Linked DNA regions of Diceros bicornis minor. Each later gene encodes a partner of the first gene's protein in a complex. Links are inferred from orthologs where the notes say so. Each region holds a gene or a part of one and is shown in the gene's direction. Other genes may lie near its edges. The genes, in order: SMARCD2, SMARCC1 and SMARCE1.

Region 1 (5,576 bases):
AATCAGAATAGGTAAATCCATAAAGACAGAATGCAGATTGGTGGTTACCAGGGGCCAGGAGGAGGGGGGAATGGGAAGCAACTGCTTAATGGGTATGGGACTTTCTTTTGGAGTGATAAAAATGTTTTGGAATTAGAGGTGGTAGTTGCACAACACTGTGAATGTAGTAAATGCCACTGAATTGTTCACTTTAAAATGGTTAATTTTATGTTATGTGACTCTCACCTCAATAAAAAATAAAAAGAGAAAAAGACACTTTCTGCCTTCATAGAGTTTATCAGACAGTAAACCAGTGCATACATAAACAAATAATTACATATTGTGATAATCACTTGGTGGGAAGTAAACTAAGGGGAGACAGTGGAAAAGTTAAGGAAGAGCTGGGGGCAAAGAGGCTCTGAGGTGGGAAGGGGTTTAGCAGTTTGAGAAATTGTCAGGAGAACCTCTGGACTGACTCTCAGAGAACCAAAGGCAGTGATTTTTTTTTTTTTTTTTTTTTTTGCTGAGGAAGATTTGCCCTGAGCCACCATCTGTGCCAATCTGCCTCTATTTTGTAGGTGGGTTGCTGCCACAGGATGGCTGACAAGTAGTGTAGGTCAATGCCCAGAAGCCGGGCCTGCGAACCTGGGCTGCTGAAGCGGAGCTCACAGAAATTAACCCCTACATCATGGGGCCGGCCCAAGGCAGTGATTTAAAATGAGCCCAAGGAGGTAAGCCGGAGTCAGGCCCTGCAGAACCTTACATCTCATGAGAGGAAGTATGATGTTCAATCTAAGCAATGAGGAGCTGGGAAGCATTTTAAGCAACAGATTAATAGACAAATTACATTTAACTGTTTTATCCATTTTTAAATGCACCTATTAGCTTGCCTCTTTTCTAGAGTAAATCTACAGGGAGAATTGTATCAGAATTACCTGGGAGGCTTATTTTTAAAATACAACACTGGGAGCCATTGGACTGTGTGTGTGTGTAGGGATGTGGCTGGCAGGGAAATTTTGGAAGCCCCCAGGGGATTCGCCCATACTACTTCCTCTAGCACTACTGTTGCTCTAGGAGCTGGAAAAGGTCAAAATGGACATTAACTGCTTTATCATGAATTCTTTACCCACCTTACAGAGGTGGGGAGGGGCCCTAGTTCAATGACTATAACAATTCCAGTGGCCTGTTCTCAGACTGACAACCCATTTTTAGGGAGAAAGAGGAGAGGGATCTCTGAGAAGACGGAGAGGCAGGAAAGCAGCAGCAACAGGGTTTATCACTGGAGGAAAGATAGCAGGAAGTATAGATGAGCAGAACTAATTTCTAAAAACGGTTGGAGGACTGTACTATAAGCTGGATCTAGGGTGCTGAATGGTGCAAGAATGGTGCAAGAATGAAATGGAAATGAGAACATAGGCAGGGGATTTATATAGTGGAAAAGTCTCTATCTTGCCTACTCAAAAGTATTGTCTGAGTAGCGACAGCATTGCTGGGGAGCTTGTTAGAAATGCAAAATCTTGAGCCTTACCCCAGACCCCAGGCCTCTTGAATCATAATCTGCATTTTTAATAAGAGCCCCAGATGTTTGTTATGCTCATTAAATTTTAAGAAGCACTGGTTTATATCATGAGGAGAAAACTCCAGACCCCTGGCATAGCTAAAGCACTTTATTTTGAATACCTTCTGATACAGGACAGTGGTTTCTGAAAAGGTATTAAATTTTTGAAAATTAAGTGCTATAAATCCTGGAGAAAGACCTTATTTAATTGCAGGGAGGTTTCTCATCATGCAAAAATTCCTTCGCCTAGAAACATTTCCTGTGGAGTCAAATCCTAGGCTTCCTTAAAGTGAGGCACAGCCACTTTAAAAATATGCGATAAGAACTCGGCTCTTGGCCAAGTCAACCGTTCACACAGCTGGATCGGGTCTGGAGCAGCCCATATGCCTTGGCAGGTCAGAGCCACCAAGACGGGTTTTTAAAGCAAGTCAAGTCGGTGGCTGTTCTGCCCCCCGAGAGCAGCTCTGAGTTGAATCTTTAATGTTAAAAATGTAGAAAGCAGACTTGACAAAACTATTTTCAAGAAGCGTGGCCGGGTAACTTGCCGAGTTGCCTACGCCGAGTAGAGAGCAGCAACTACCTACCGTACGCACTGTCGAAGCCCTAAGCGACCTTCGACCTCTGGCCCCGCGCCTTGCTCGGCGTCTCCGTGCGCAGCTTCCGCCCCCGCCCCTCCCGCGAAGGGTTGGGCCGAAGGGTGTGGGCGGGGCTATGGGGCCGACGGTTAGGGACGGTGCCTGTTAGGGGCGGGTCTCGCGAGGGGCGGGATTTGAGGAGGCACCCTAGCATTGGGCTGCTGGGTATAGGCGGGGCCTAGCGCTGGGCTGGGTTGGGCGGGGCAGGGAGTTAGTTGCCGCCTCTGGGTAACTGGACTCAGGCGGCCAAACCTCCGGAGGCCGGGGGCGGCAAGCGGGCCCGTAGCAGATCCCGGATCCGGAATTTCCCGGGCAGGACCGGAATCAGGATCAACCCTGCCCCAAACCGGGTCTGTGAGGAACTCGTGAACTTGGATTAGGAAATCCCGGAACTCGGATCTACAAACCGCAGAACCCGGAATTTAGATCGGAAAGTCCCGGAGCACGGATCTCGGAGCGGACTCGGCGCGGAGCCCGGAGTCCGGATCGCGACACCGCCGGACGGGACGGAGCGATGTCGGGCCGTGGCGCGGGCGGGTTCCCGCTGCCCCCGCTGAGCCCTGGCGGCGGCGCGGTTGCCGCGGCCCTGGGAGCGCCGCCTCCGCCAGCGGGACCCGGCATGCTGCCCGGACCGGCTCTCAGGGGGCCAGGGCCGGCTGGAGGCGTAGGGGGCCCCGGAGCCGCCGCCTTCCGCCCCATGGGCCCCGCGGGCCCCGCGGCGCAGTACCAGGTGAGGAGGGCGGACGGGTGGGTGGCGCCGCGAGCACGCCGGGTGCAGGGGGTGGAGGGGCGTCGAGTGAGGGCCCTGGGGCAGCCTCTTGGAGAGAGGGCACAGGGGCCCTGCATGCGGAGCAGGACACGGTGGAGGGCAAGGCCAGGGATCCTCAGGCTCGGCTAGGTGGTGGTGGTGGAGGAGTTGGGAGAGAGAAGGTAAGAGCGACTCTGGGTGGAGTGTTTGAAGCAGTTGGGAGGGTCTGGGGGCTTCCGTGGAACAGGGATTCTGAGTAACTGAGAGATGGAGGAGTTGTGGGAGCTAGTGAGTTGTGGGTGGCTGGGTTGAAAGTCTAGTGTATAGATCCTAGGGTAGAGGGTCCTGGGAAGTGATGAGAAAGTTTTGGAAAAGGGCCCTCACTGAGGAACCAGGGTTACCCTGCATTGACCTTGGTCCCACTCCAAGTCTGCTCTGGTTTTTTTCTAGTTGGGAACTGGCAGAGTTCTAGCGTGTCTGAGATGGTTCCCAGCTGCTGATGAGGAAGAAGGGCCTGGCTTCCCACGGGCATGGGAGACTGAGGATAGGGCAAGGGGACTCCAGCTGGTGCAGGGGAGAGTCTACTCCTGGATCAGGCCCAGGAACCCTCACCCCAGATGACTCTGGGTTAGACCAGAGACAGTAGCGGCCATCCCTAAGGAAGGAGGAAAGCCCAGCCCATTCTGGGCAGACTCTCTTTTTGGCTTTCTGCCTAGTGTCATAGTGTCCAGGAGTTGATTAGTCTGGAGGAGCAGAGAGGCTCCACGGAGCCCTGCTGGTCTGGGGCTGGAGGAGCCTGCGGGAGTTGCTTCAAAGGGTTCTGTCCTGACCCCTTTGGGGTTTGGCTGCGAAGAGAGCTTCTCAGGTTGCAGCTTCAAAGATCATTGAGAGGTAGAGACTCTGTCCTTAGGGTCAGTGTGTGAGGAACTCAGCCTGACCCTGCTGGTGGGGCTCATCAGTCCCCCAGTCCATTGTTTCTGGTTGCCCCGGAATACTTGGGAATTGTACCCATTCTTTCTCCTGCCCGCTCTCCCCTTTTATTTAGCTTTGAGGTTCTGATATTGCCATATTGCAACTCATGTGCCCCAGCATTTGGCACTGACTTCTAGCAAGTTTGAAAGAAGGAAGCTGGGGCTTCCTCTCTTTCCTCCTCATGTCTCCAGGTAGAGGTCCCAGAAGTGGATTCCTAGAGTAGGGTATGCATGGGCCCCAGGACCCCTGGGCCCTCACTTTCTAAAGAGATGTTTAACTAGGAACAGTGATTTTTCCCTCTTACTTCTCATTCCCCCTCCTCCCTAGAAAGAAAACAAAAGGTCTAGGTATTGACAGAGACAGGCCTGTCCCAAGGACTCCAGCTGGGGTCCATTTTTCCCATCTTGCTCTTCCCCTTGGGGATTCATGGGCCCAAGGTGTCGCTGAGGGATCCCTGCATTGGTCATTCCAGTCTTTGGGCCAGCTAACTGAGACCTGGCCCGGGAGCCTCCCTGTGCGCCTTTGGCCTGGGAAGGATCTAGGGAACAGATAGGAGCCTCTCCAGTTTCCTCAGCTTGCAACCCGTGGGAAATGTGCCATAGGGAAAGCCGCTGAGAGACTGGATTCCATAGCCCTTTGTAGGGAGTGGCCTTGGGCCGGTGGCAAGGCTGAGCTGGCTGCCTGGGTAGCCCTGGGCTCCTAGGGGTGGGGAAAGTGGTGAAGGCAGTGAGCCTCTGCTTCCCTGGGCTTCCCATCCCACCAGCTTCTCATCGCCTTCTCCTCCTCCTCTTCTAGGGAGGGCAATAGAGGTAGATGGGGAAAGGGAGGACCCAGTTCACTTTGGTTGAGTTCGAGGAGGATCCTGCTTGGCTTCTTTCCAAGTCCAGTTGTGTGACTTCCAGGAGAAGGGACTTGAGATCTGAGGAGCAAAGGGGTTTCTGTCTATTAGGGCACATGAGATGAGCTGGGAGAGCAAGGATTTCAGGGCCCAAGTTGGGCAGATAGGGGAGCCTATTGAAAGAAGGGAAGTGATGACCCTTCTCCCTCTAGACAGTGGTTCCAGCTCTGGATCACAGTCAACTAAGGAGCTTAAAAAAAACAAAAACAAAACGACCCAGGTTGCTGGGTTCACTCCGGAGAGTTCAAAATATTTTCTTATGGAGGAGTATGTTCTCCTCTGGTAGACTCTGAGGGCCAGCCACCAGGAGCACCAGGGCCACAGCTTTGAGGGAGGGTAAGCATGCTCTCTGGAGGTGGCAGCATCAGGCCCAGCCTCCTGCCTTTGCTCTCCTGGGTGGTGGAGATAGAGTCCAGCTTAGGATGTGGGCTAGTGCTGGGCTAAGGGAGAGGAGGTTGTCACACACTTCTAGGGTTCAGGGCACTGAGCCAAGTTAACCTGCTGTGCTGCAGGTGGGGAGTTAGGGAGCCTGAGAATTCTGGGCTGTGTTCTTTTTTTTCCTTATAACTCTTGGGTTGTTTTTTGGAAGAGGAGGAGGAACTGGTACTTCAAAGCCCAGGTGTGGAGCTTGGCAAGGCCAAGCTGGGACTAAAGGAACTGTAAGCAGCCTTCCCCTGGGCTCCTTCCCGCTCTGGGGAGAAGCCTGGGGCCCTGGGTGAGCTGGGGGCTCTACGCCTGGGAAGTCGGAAGCAGATGTTTGGGAGGGGCCTATTCCAGGCCCTGCTT
Region 2 (5,576 bases), on another chromosome or scaffold:
CGCTCAGGGTGGATCTTTCCCTGCCAAAAAACAAAAGTCCGTCTTTATTAATATGCTCTTCAAGTATTTTTTTTCTTTGTGAGGAAGATCAGCCCTGAGCTAACATCTGTTGCCAATCCTCCTCTTTTTGCTAAGGAAGACTGGCCCTAGGCTAACATCCGTGCCCATCTTCCTCCAGTTTATATGGGACGCAGCCACAGCACGGCTTGACGAGCGGTGCGTCAGTGAGAGCCGTGGATCCGAACCCTGGCCGCCGCAGCCTAGTGTGCACACTTAACCGATATGCCACCGGGCCGGGCCCTTCAACTATTTAATTTTTGATGAAAAATTTTAGATGTTTTTCTAAAAGAAGAAAGTATATCGTTTTCCAAATTATTTTAGAATTTTTTTGAACAAAAATGTTGGAACACCACCCTGGAGGATCTAATGGCTCCAGAAAATGAAATAGCTTTCTGAACTCTTCCAGTGTGGTTTCTTTGCTCTACTCACACACTATTAGTAGAAAACATTGTCCTTGGGAAGAGAGGGGAATAGTACTCCAGGATCTAATTCCTGAGTTCAAAAACCTGACTCTAATATATATTTGCTAGCCAGTTACTTGACCTCTCTCTGCCTCAATTTTCTTATCTGCAGTAATGTAGGTGTACTCAGCACAGAGCATGGCACAGTGTTCCATGACACCCGCTATTATCATTATTTCTGAAGTCTGAGCTCTTAGAGGGCAAGATCCATATCTTACTTACATTCTCATTGTTTCTGTCCTAGACTGTTACCAGTTCATCTTTTCTCTATTCTTTCTTCCTCCTATCATTCACACTGCTGCAATTATCTTCGTAATCTATAAATCTGATCATGTCATTCTCTCTGTTCAAGATGGTTTCTCAATGCTTACAGGATAAAGTCAAAATCATTGCCACAACCAAGTAACATCTCTGCTTCCATCCCATGGTCTTATGGAGAGTTGCACCAAGCATGCTTTCACACTTGCGCATTACCCTTTGTTCCACTTGTTTTCATGTGTGTGAAATGTCCTTTCCTCCCTGATCACATTCTGTTCACTCTTAAAAGTTGGTCTCAAAAACTCACCAGGCTTTCTCACAAGCAATTAGTCACGTGCTGTTCTGGGGTCATATAGCATTATGTTCATAACTTCATAATTGGCAATCATATTTCGTTAATAATTTATAACCTTTCTGCCTGTGTACGTCATCCATTCATTCATCAAATATTTATTGAACATGTATTAGATAACAGGCCCTGTTCCCAGCACTGAGGGTACGTCTGTGAACAAGTCAAGACTAAGTTCTCATTTAATTTATGTGGACGATAAGTAAGAAAAGAAAAATACTAGGTCGTGGTAAGTGCTACATAGAGAATGTCCAGTGAGTATGACTACCTGTTCAAGATTGTATGGTCAGGGTTTGCTTTTCTAAAGTACCTTTAAGCTATGAATTTGAAAGCGCCTAAGTGACAATTAGAGGGGAAGAGCTGTCCAGGTCGCGGGAACAGCTGGCGCGATGGCTCCGAGGCAGGAATGAGCTGGTGCGGCTAGAGCCATGAGGGGCAGAAAGGCTGTGAGGCCGAAGAAGCTCCGAGTGGTAGTCCCAGGTGAGTGACTACAAAGGCTGACACGGCCACTTTGTGTAGAAGGTATGGGTAAGCGAGGGCAGGCGCACATTCCCACCCGCTCGCGGGTTCCTCTGCCGCCACTCGACACCCTAAACGGGCTTTCTCTCTGGAACTTCTCACACCAGCCCTTTTCTCTCCGGCAGTGGCAGCCGATGACAGGGAACCTCCATGCAGTTGTTGACCGCCAACGATCCGACGCAGGAACCCCGGAAACAGCCAGACGCGCAGAGGCGGAGGCTCGGCAGCGGAGAGGTCGAGCAAGCCGCCGCAGATGGCGGAAGAGGCGGGTGGAGGCGCTCCCCCGAGGCCCGCCTGGCGCGAGCACTGCGCATGCGTGTGCGCGTGCCCTCGTCGGTTAGGGCGCCGGTCCCGAGAGGGGGCGGGGTCGGGCCTCCGCGCCGGAAGGGGGTTGGCTGGGCGGGGCCGGGAAGCGGCGGTGGCAGCTGCGCGCGCGCGCGGGTGCGAACGGGGAACGCGGCGAGGGCCGGGGTGGGCTGGGTGGTGGGGACGGCGGACGGCGAGAATGGCCGCGGCGGTGGGCGGCGGCGGGCTGGGGGCGGCGGCAGGCGCTGCGGGTGCGGGAGGCGCAGCGGCGGCGGCCGCAGGCCTGGCCGTCTATCGGCGGAAGGACGGGGGCCCGGCCAGCAAGTTTTGGGAGAGCCCGGAGACGGTGTCCCAGCTGGATGCGGTGCGGGTCTGGCTGGGCAAGCACTACAAGAAGGTGGGTTCGCGCGCCCGTGGGAGCCGGGAGGCCACGCGACGGGGCCCGGGGGCGGCTACTGGCCTCGCGGGCCTCCGGCCGCCCTTCCCCCCGCGCGCCACGAGGGACAACAAAGGCCGGCGCGGGGCCCGCCACGCCCCCGCCGTCCGCTTTGGGCGCCCGCGGCCCGGGGCTCCCCGGAGCTCCCGCGGCTCGTCTCCTTGGAGCCCACGCACCCCGGGCGAAAGCCCCTGCTCACCCCAGTATGTAGGAACAGGTCGACCTCAGCAACCCGGAGGCTCGGAATCTTTCTCTTTTGTTAGCTGCATTAGGTGTGTGAACAGTGATTATTAAAAACTGTCTGAGCCGGAGCTGTAAAAGCAGCTTCAAGTTTGTTTAGAGACTAGTCTTCGAAGTCAGGTAAGCTAAGATTTTACTACCTGTTATTGATTTGCTAAAGGACTGTGAACGATTGTACTTGGAAGTTAATAACAGCAAGTTAATATAATGAATTATAGTATTGATGAGAGCTAATATTATAAAGCGACGGTTTTTACTTCATAGTACTTTTGGTTATGATTGGTGATAGTAGAAGAGTTAGTGTTCACTTGTACCTGATGTGTTTCTCAGGCCTTCCCTGAGAACCCCATTTATAGTAGATCACCCCACTTCATATCACCTTTATTTTCTTTGTACCACTTTTTGAGATTATTTTTGCTTTATCTGTTTCTCCTACCTTTGGAATGTAAGTTCTGCTGAGTCAGTGGTATTGAAAGTTGTGACTTAACCTCTTGTTTATAACAAATGTTTCTTAACTTCCTCTTCATGTAAATATTTAGGAATGACTCCCTTAGAAGGTGTAATGAAGCAGACAGCCGAAAATACTTCCCTCTGCCCCCAAATTTCTGGAACACCCTTTTCAGTTCTGTGCTTCCCCCATTGAAGACGGTGGCACTGGGACAGGGACCTTGTCAGGCCTGTTCACTACAATGTGTCTTGGAACATGGTTGGTACTCATTGCCTCGCCCTTAGTAGTTGCTTTGTAAATATTTGTTGAATGAATGAAAAGGTAATGTACTCTAGGAACCTGTTCATTTGGGGTCTGCAGTTCAGTGAAGCCTGCCAACTTTTGGAAGTAGACAAGGACAGGAATCTTAGGTTCCTTTGACATTACACTTTAAGAAATGACTATTCTTACCTGAAGTTTTAGGAAGTGAGAGACAACATATATTTTTACTTACGATGTATTTTTAGATGCTTTGACTTTTTTCCCCCTGAAATTTTGGAGTCACATTTGGGACTGTAGACTTTTCTCCTCTACATGTAAGTAGACAGGAATATTGCTCTTCCTTGTACAGTGATATATTGGTCACTTTTTTGTGTAGGCAGTAGAGCTTCTGGAAGTGGCTAAGGGACTTGAATATATTTATATTCTAAAAGTATTAATTATTTTTTGTCAAGTGCCTTTCAGCCAATGCTTTGGGTCTTAAATTCAATGTACTTTAATGTAGTTTTTTTATTCCCCCAGTCTGGATTTTTTTCCCCTGCTTTTATTGAGATATAATTGACATGTAATATTGTATTACTTTATCAATATAGCTTTAACAAAGAAAAATACTCAGGAGTAATATTCCTTTGGATATCAAGGAATGGAAAAGAAAAAGGAAATAATAGTCATTTCTATCTCTCCAAACTCCGTGTGCATCTCTTTGGGCCCAGTTTTTTAAGAGGTCAGCTTTAGGCTTGGATAAGCCTTCCGAGATTTGTTTGGGTGGGTGAAGAAGTGGCTGTGAGGCTGACTGAGGGATATGTTCCAGAGTGTTGAAGCCAGTAGGCTAATCTTGGCTTAGTGTCGCTAAGGCCTTAAAGACAAAGTTAGGTTTGACTTCTCAGGGTTTCATAAAGCCAGAGTATATTTCTTGGGCCTACTCAAATTCAGAATTGTATATCCCTTAAGTCTGGCAGCTAGAATCCTGTCAGCCTCTGAGAGTGGTGTTGGAGTGGTGAAAGTATTAACCAGAAGTTTCTTTGCTTCTTTTGTACACAGTATATCTCTACTTGGTGTACAGATTGATGGGTTTTAAATTTTATTTATTTATTTATTTTTCCTCCAAAGCCCCAGTAGATAGTTGTATGTCATAGTTGCACATTCTTCTAGTTGCTGTATGTGGGACGCGGCCTCAGCGTGGCTGGAGAAGCAGTGTGTCTGTGTGCACCCGGGATCCGAACCCGGGCCACCTGCATCGGAGCGCACGCACTTAACCGCTAAGCCACGGGGCCGGCCCGAGATTGATGGGTTTTAACTAAACTTTTCTATTGCATCTAATACTTCATTTTCAGAATCATACATCTCAGCGACCATATGAAAGAAACATGACGTTGGCAGTCGCATTTTTTTTGATGGGTTTGTCCATACATTTCATGAGCAACTGAACATCTCCCATATCTGGGCACTTAAAGCATAATTCAAATCCTCACCACAGTCCTGAATAATATTATATTGATATTGTTTGATATCAATTTGGTATTTGGTATTGATATTATTTCCTGAATAGATGTTATTTACTTCATTTTACACGTGAGAGGAACCTGAGGCTCCAGATTTAAGTAACTTCTCTAAGATTACAGTTAGGAGTGGTAGATACGGGGTTAGATGAAGGTCTGTCTAGCTCCAAACCCCAATTTTTTTTTTTTATTGCTACACATAATCTCTCTCTTTAAGGAAGTCACAATGTGGTGGAAAAGATAGATATAGACACTTACTTGTAAAATCCAGGTCATCTCAGATTAAAAGAGAACTTCTTTGTATTGTTTTCTAAATGCTCTTAGTAGGTGCTCAGCAAATATTTGCTCAATGAGTGAACAGATTAATTAGTCTAGGAACCTGTTCATTTAGGCTTTGTTGATAAATTTGACTTAGCAACACAGAAGGGAGAGTGAATACTTTTTGACTGGGATGAGCTTCAGCTAGGCCAAAGGAGTTCAGAGGAGGTGACCACTGTAGGTGAGGGGAAGCTGAAGCACAGGGAGGTTAACTCTTTGCCTGAGGTTGCATTTTAAGTCTGGAAGCAGTGCAGAAGCTTGTTCATATCCTACCTAAGCTGCCTTCTTTGTATTGTTGCGTACATATCTTTCACCCTAACTCTGATAAAGATGAGAGCCATATTTCTGTCCATAGTTTCTGAGTGGTTTTTAGATGATAAAACCTTACTGATCTCAAATTGATTCAGCTCAGATACCTTGGAGG
Region 3 (5,576 bases), about 6.6 Mb from region 1:
TGTACAATTTTAAAGGGTTCATAGACCTCCTAGAGCCAATTCATGGACTACTAGGTGTCCAAGGACTGTGGGTTTTTCCTTGTTGTCTCCCATTTTCTCCTTTTTCTCCTTCCCTCACAGGGATGGTTCTCTTTCCACCCCTAATTCCATCTCACTCCCCAGCTTCTTCCCACAGTACTATGGAAAGAAATCAAAGAGACCTGGGCTTGAATCCTAGCTTAATCACTTACTAGTTTTGGCTTCCCTGTTTTGGAGGAAGGAGAACCTCAAGGAAGTATGAGTACTGTCAGAGAGGAAAGCAGGTCAACTTCCTGGATCTCGCTGCCAGGAAGGAAACTAAACTCCCTGGGTCTAAGACTATCTCTGCAGTTCACAGCAAGGCCCCTGTGAGGGCTCCCAACAACCTTGAGAGTTACATATCATTTAAATAGTCATATTAAGGAGGCATCCCATATTTTCCAGGAATAAGCACTGTTCCAAAAGTCTGTCCTGTGGTTCCCATCAACATCCCTGTACATGCAAGATCATATGTTCTGACGTTTGCTTGGGGAAAAAACAAACTAATAACTCAGACATTTCACTCTGCAGTCTTAATTTCTTCAGGACTAGGGAAGAGGTTTTTTTCCGTATTATATTTTGCCTCTTTTCTTCCTTTCTTAATTTTGCAAATCTTTGGGAGTGAAGAACCAAAGGGAGGAAAATGAGATGGCCATTCATTTACTCATTCCACAAATATTGAGCACCTGAATGTACCACGCACTGTTTCAGAGGTCAAAAATCCCCACCCTCAAAGAGCTTTCATTCTGATGGAAAGAAAAAGACAACAAAACAAATACATAATAAATATACTACATTGGGTGGTAAGTGCTACAGAAAAAACAAAGCACAGACCACGAATCGAGTGGAGGTTGGAGAATGAGTTGCAATTTTAAATAGGTCAGCAACGACCTACCGAGGTGACATTTGAGTAAAGACCAGGAGGTGAGAAAGTGCATCAATGTCACTGCTTCACTCAGATCTCCTCCTTTCCTTTTTCACCATTTTTGTGCCACGCCTTTCTCACTACAGTGAGCTTTGTTCCTAACATCCAGCACCTGCGGCTTTTCTTCAAGAGGACTGCCTAGAGATGACACAAGGGAGCATCTGCCCCTGCACCTCACGTGCCCAATGCTCCACCATAACCTCAAAGGCAAGGAAGAAACCAGGCTGTAGGTGCTGGACAAGGCAGGAGAAAGAAGGTCCTGGGATCCCTGCTGAGGCCTTCGTGTATCTTACATTAATCCTTTCCGTCTCTGATGCTTTTATATTAAAAAAAGCACTTTCATGTACATTATCTCAAGCACCACTCAAGCTGCCTGTTATCCTTGGATGACCTCTCTTTTAGTCTTTCCCTTCACTATGCTCTTCAATTTCACTAATCTCTATTCATGAGTATACAACGAATGGGGTAGAGACTACTATCAAGTTATCAAAGAACCGTGCGAGTTCAGGGGAAGGATTGGGGGGCGAGCGGGGATGGAGTGAGTTTAAGCTGAAAGTGGGGGACAGTCGTTCCCGGGGAGGGAACCGAATGAGCCCAGGCCGCGCTGGGCGGAGACCAGTGTCGCCAGGGCCCACCACCCGGGCCAAGGGGATTGACACCTCTGGGCCTTGGCTCAGAAGCCTGTGGCAAGGACCCCACACTCGCGGTTGCAAAACCTGAAAAAGTGCGTGTCGCTTTTCGCCAAGGATAATGCCGGCCGGTTCCGGCAGGACGTCCTGCAAGGCGCTGGTGGAGGCGAAAAACCCGCCAGCCGGGTCCTCCACGACTCCATGCCCGGCTTTCTCAGGGCGAAAGAGGAAAGAAAGGGACCAGGGGGGAAACAAACAAAACCCGCGGGGCGGGCGCGGAGCGTGGCCGAGTGGCGCGGGCCGCGAGGCCGCAGTGGTTCCGGGGCCTCAGGTCGGGGCGACCCCGCCGTCTTCCGGGCCCGCGCGCGGCTCCCACGGCCCCTCGGCGCGTCCCCCGCCGGCGCTTCAGCCCCTCACGGCCGCCGCACCCGGGCCCATCCCGCGGTCGGGCCTCTCCGCCCTCGCCGCCGTGACGAATCGGCGCCGCCCGGGAAGGTACCGCATTCGGGAGGTTTGAGGAACGTATGGGGCCTGAAAAAAATCCTTGGCCGTAGGAAGCCTCACCGCGTCCTCAATAGAAAGTTTATTTTTCTAAAGAGAGTCGGGGGGACCCGGAGAGACATTCAGCCGAGTGTTGAAAGTGCGAGTGCGGAAGCTCCGCCGCGAGGGGCGGGGCCTGCGAGGGACAAAGGGAAGCGAGGCTGGAGCTGCGGGCGCGTTTTCTGCCCGCGGGTGAGTGTTTCCAACCGGGCTTGGCCGGGTCGGGGGGTGGGGGGGACGGGTGGCAAGTCGCGGTGTCCCGGCTCGGCTGGACCCCGAGCTCCCGGGGTTTGCTGGGGTTCAGGCTTGGCCGCGGGGCCAGAGCTGGGGGCCGCTTGCGGCCTCCTTGAGGCCTAGCGGAGCGAGGGTTGGGAGGGAGTCCCATCTGGGGCCCCTCCTTGGCGGCAAGATTTGCCCCTTCCACTAACGCCGCGGAACTGGTCAGAGCACCTGTGCATACCCCCCTTTGGTGGAGTTGCTGGTGAAGTGTAGCCTCCACGACAAACCTAATGGAAAGGATCTCAGAGGAAGCGCCTGGGACTAGCCAAGCCCGTGGTCCTCACCCCCAGGAAGGTGGTTTCCCCTTGGTTCAGGCAGAGACCCGAGGGCTCGCGGTGTGGCTTCGAGGGAAGAGCGAAAGCTCTGCAACCATTTGGCCTGGGTTTAAAACCCAGCTCTGGCACTTCCTGGCAGTGTGTCTTTAGACAAGTTACTTAAACTCGCCGAGACTCTCTTGTTTCATCCGTAAATAGGAGTGGCAGTACATATCTCCGTGGTAGTTGTGACTGTCAGACGAGGTAGTGTAGGTAATAAGCCTGTCCCGTGTAAGGGACTCAACAAATGCTTATCTAGTATTTTATGCCAGGCGCCGAGGATGGATCCACTGGTGGGTAAATGTACAAGCCCACCCTTAAGAATTTATAGTACAGCGAAGGAGAGCAATTATTTTAAAGCGTTAAACAATGAAGTGTGACGTATTAAGGATCTTGTGGCGGACATTGTCAGGGCTTCCCCACAGCAAGGCCAACGGGGTGTTGACAGCTCCCTGAATGTGCAGATTTCCACTAGAATCAATGGTTTCTGCCCGTTCCTTAAGGAAAGAGGGCCCAGGTTGGGCCACTGAGAAAATAAACTGTTTCTTTCCACAGCAGGCCTCTTATTCCTTATGCTCCAGGGAAGTCTCTTAAAATGCAACATAGAGGCAAAAAAATTCTGTTTGTTTCACATAATGTTGGATGAAAGTGCCAGTAGTCATAGAAGTTATTTGCCTTTTTTCTAAAAATGAATGTCTCTTTGTACGCACTGTGTGTGATGTATATTGATGTAAGCTCATGTGGGTACGGTCATGTTATGAACTGGTAAATACTAGGACAAAATTTATGAAGAATTGAGCTAGGTCCTGGGACTACAGTAATCAATTAAATTGTTGCTGTTCCCAGGCAGCGTACGATCTAGCCATATGAACAGGTATAATACGATATAGTAAACAATATCATAGACCTATGTAAATTGAGTAGGTGTACAGATGAGGAAGCAATTAATTTTGCCCAGGTAGTTTATCAAGAAAGCTCCATTGAGTAGATATATTTTGAAATGGACTATGAAGGCTTTGTAAGAGTTTTTCAGGTAGACTCTCAAAATTTATTCCCAGCAGTTACAAAGCTGTTTACCTCTATAAGAGAATGTAAAGGGCATTATCATACCAATTACCTTTTGCACTACCTCCAGGAATCAAATACTGCTCCATTTAATAGGAGTTGTTATTCTAAAAGGAAGGTAGAGCTGCTGCTGAGTGGGGGCTGTCGGTATCTGGTAGGCCTTGTTGGAGTGGGCCCTGATAATACGTCATTCTGTTGTCATTAAATTTTTATCAGTCTGGTTAAATGTTTACATGGCATCCATAAAATGTTTTCCGTACAAGAGGTGGCTCAGTATCATAAGAAAAACTTGAAAGTACGTGTCTAATATTACTTTTAATATCCCCAGTAATTTTAGTCATTTAATTCTGTTGAACCAAATGACCTAAAGAATTACTAAAATATGCAAATACTTGATTACTAGAAGACAATGTAAAGTAATTTTACTAAGAAATACCACTTATAAACTACCCTATTCTTTAGGAAAACATTCTCTTATGCTTGCTGAGTTTTGATTCTCATTTTTTTTCTTTTTTTTTCTTTTTTTTATTTTAGTGTCTCAGATTCATTCTTAAGGAACTGAGAACTTAATCTTCCAAAATGTCAAGTAAGTTTCATTTTTTATATTTATCAACCTATATTAATAAGAAACTAATGCCCTAGCAAATGGGAATTCCAAAATACTCTCATTTTTTTTCTTCAAAACAGGACCATTGGTAGTTTTGTTGCATAGTATTATATCTCAGTTGTTTACAAGAAGTTATTTATTTTCTTTCAAACAGAAAGACCATCTTATGCCCCACCTCCCACCCCAGCTCCTGCAACAGTAAGTTTTAATTTTCTTGTTAATGTAATAGCCAAGTCTGGCCTTGATACAAAAACCCAGATGTCTTCCAGTGACAGTCACTCAGTCATCACAGCAACAGGATGAAAAACTCAGCTAAAAAACAGCACTTCCTACTAAATAAAATAACTCTGCATCTTACCTTGACCAACCCCAACATTTAAAGAAACATACTGCTGAAATGCCAACCTCCTGCTCAGTTCTTTTTTTAATGGGAAATAAGGGAGAAGTTAACACTTCTTTCTTATTGATCTCCGTTAAGAGTCTTTCAGGTTGATATTGAATGAATACTCATTCTGGCATTTATTATTATTTTTAAACCTAACCTTCAACTGGTTACATTTTTCTCTCCTTGTCTATATATAATTTTCGTGTTAAACAATAAAGCTTCCAGTTCTAGAATAACACTCATTGTAAATCTTTATTTTCAAGCTGTTCAAGTAAGGATTTCATTATCTGTGGGTCAGATCCTGCTATTGAATTTTATTCCACTCCATAAATAATATTCTATTGGTTTGGGAATTGATATGTTTCAAAGCATCTAAATAATAGTTGTCAACTAGTTTTTTACCCAGCAAGCTCTGGCCCAGCTTGGTCAGCATGTAAAATACTTGTCCAATCCGTAAAACAGATTTAACGCTAACTGTTCAGGCCTTGCTGAAATGGATTCCTTGTTGTTTTTTATTTTAAAAAAACAACAACACTGTTAACATTGACCATACCCTACAAAAGCAGTTCTTTAACAGCTGTTAGCCCTCCTTCAAACCCCCCACTCCCTAAATTTCAGGCTAGTTTACTAATTAGGTCCTTGTGTAATTTTGTTTTCTCCACTAGATAACTACTCTTATTTACTAACCCTTAGATATATGTTTTAGTTATGTTTGTCAACAATTTGTTTTTCCTTAGTAAGATGCTTTTAAAAAGAGATACTGTATCACATGTTC

The links.
Region 2: SMARCD2 (region 1) and SMARCC1 share a complex: the UniProt entries of both Homo sapiens proteins name them as parts of the BAF complex. The link is inferred for Diceros bicornis minor from reciprocal best matches to the Homo sapiens genes SMARCD2 and SMARCC1.
Region 3: SMARCD2 (region 1) and SMARCE1 share a complex: the UniProt entries of both Homo sapiens proteins name them as parts of the BAF complex. The link is inferred for Diceros bicornis minor from reciprocal best matches to the Homo sapiens genes SMARCD2 and SMARCE1.

The regions. Positions count from the first base shown.
Region 1 is NC_080757.1:46,662,394-46,667,969, reverse strand, and holds the start of SMARCD2 (SWI/SNF-related matrix-associated actin-dependent regulator of chromatin subfamily D member 2), read left to right. Parts: upstream 1-2,378; 5' UTR 2,379-2,686; coding exon 2,687-2,902; intron 2,903-5,576. UniProt on the Homo sapiens protein: Involved in transcriptional activation and repression of select genes by chromatin remodeling (alteration of DNA-nucleosome topology).
Region 2 is NC_080741.1:49,080,341-49,085,916, reverse strand, and holds the start of SMARCC1 (SWI/SNF complex subunit SMARCC1), read left to right. Parts: upstream 1-2,143; 5' UTR 2,144-2,152; coding exon 2,153-2,350; intron 2,351-5,576. UniProt on the Homo sapiens protein: Involved in transcriptional activation and repression of select genes by chromatin remodeling (alteration of DNA-nucleosome topology).
Region 3 is NC_080757.1:40,093,122-40,098,697, reverse strand, and holds the start of SMARCE1 (SWI/SNF-related matrix-associated actin-dependent regulator of chromatin subfamily E member 1), read left to right. Parts: upstream 1-2,239; 5' UTR 2,240-2,343; intron 2,344-4,343; 5' UTR 4,344-4,388; coding exon 4,389-4,395; intron 4,396-4,570; coding exon 4,571-4,614; intron 4,615-5,576. UniProt on the Homo sapiens protein: Involved in transcriptional activation and repression of select genes by chromatin remodeling (alteration of DNA-nucleosome topology).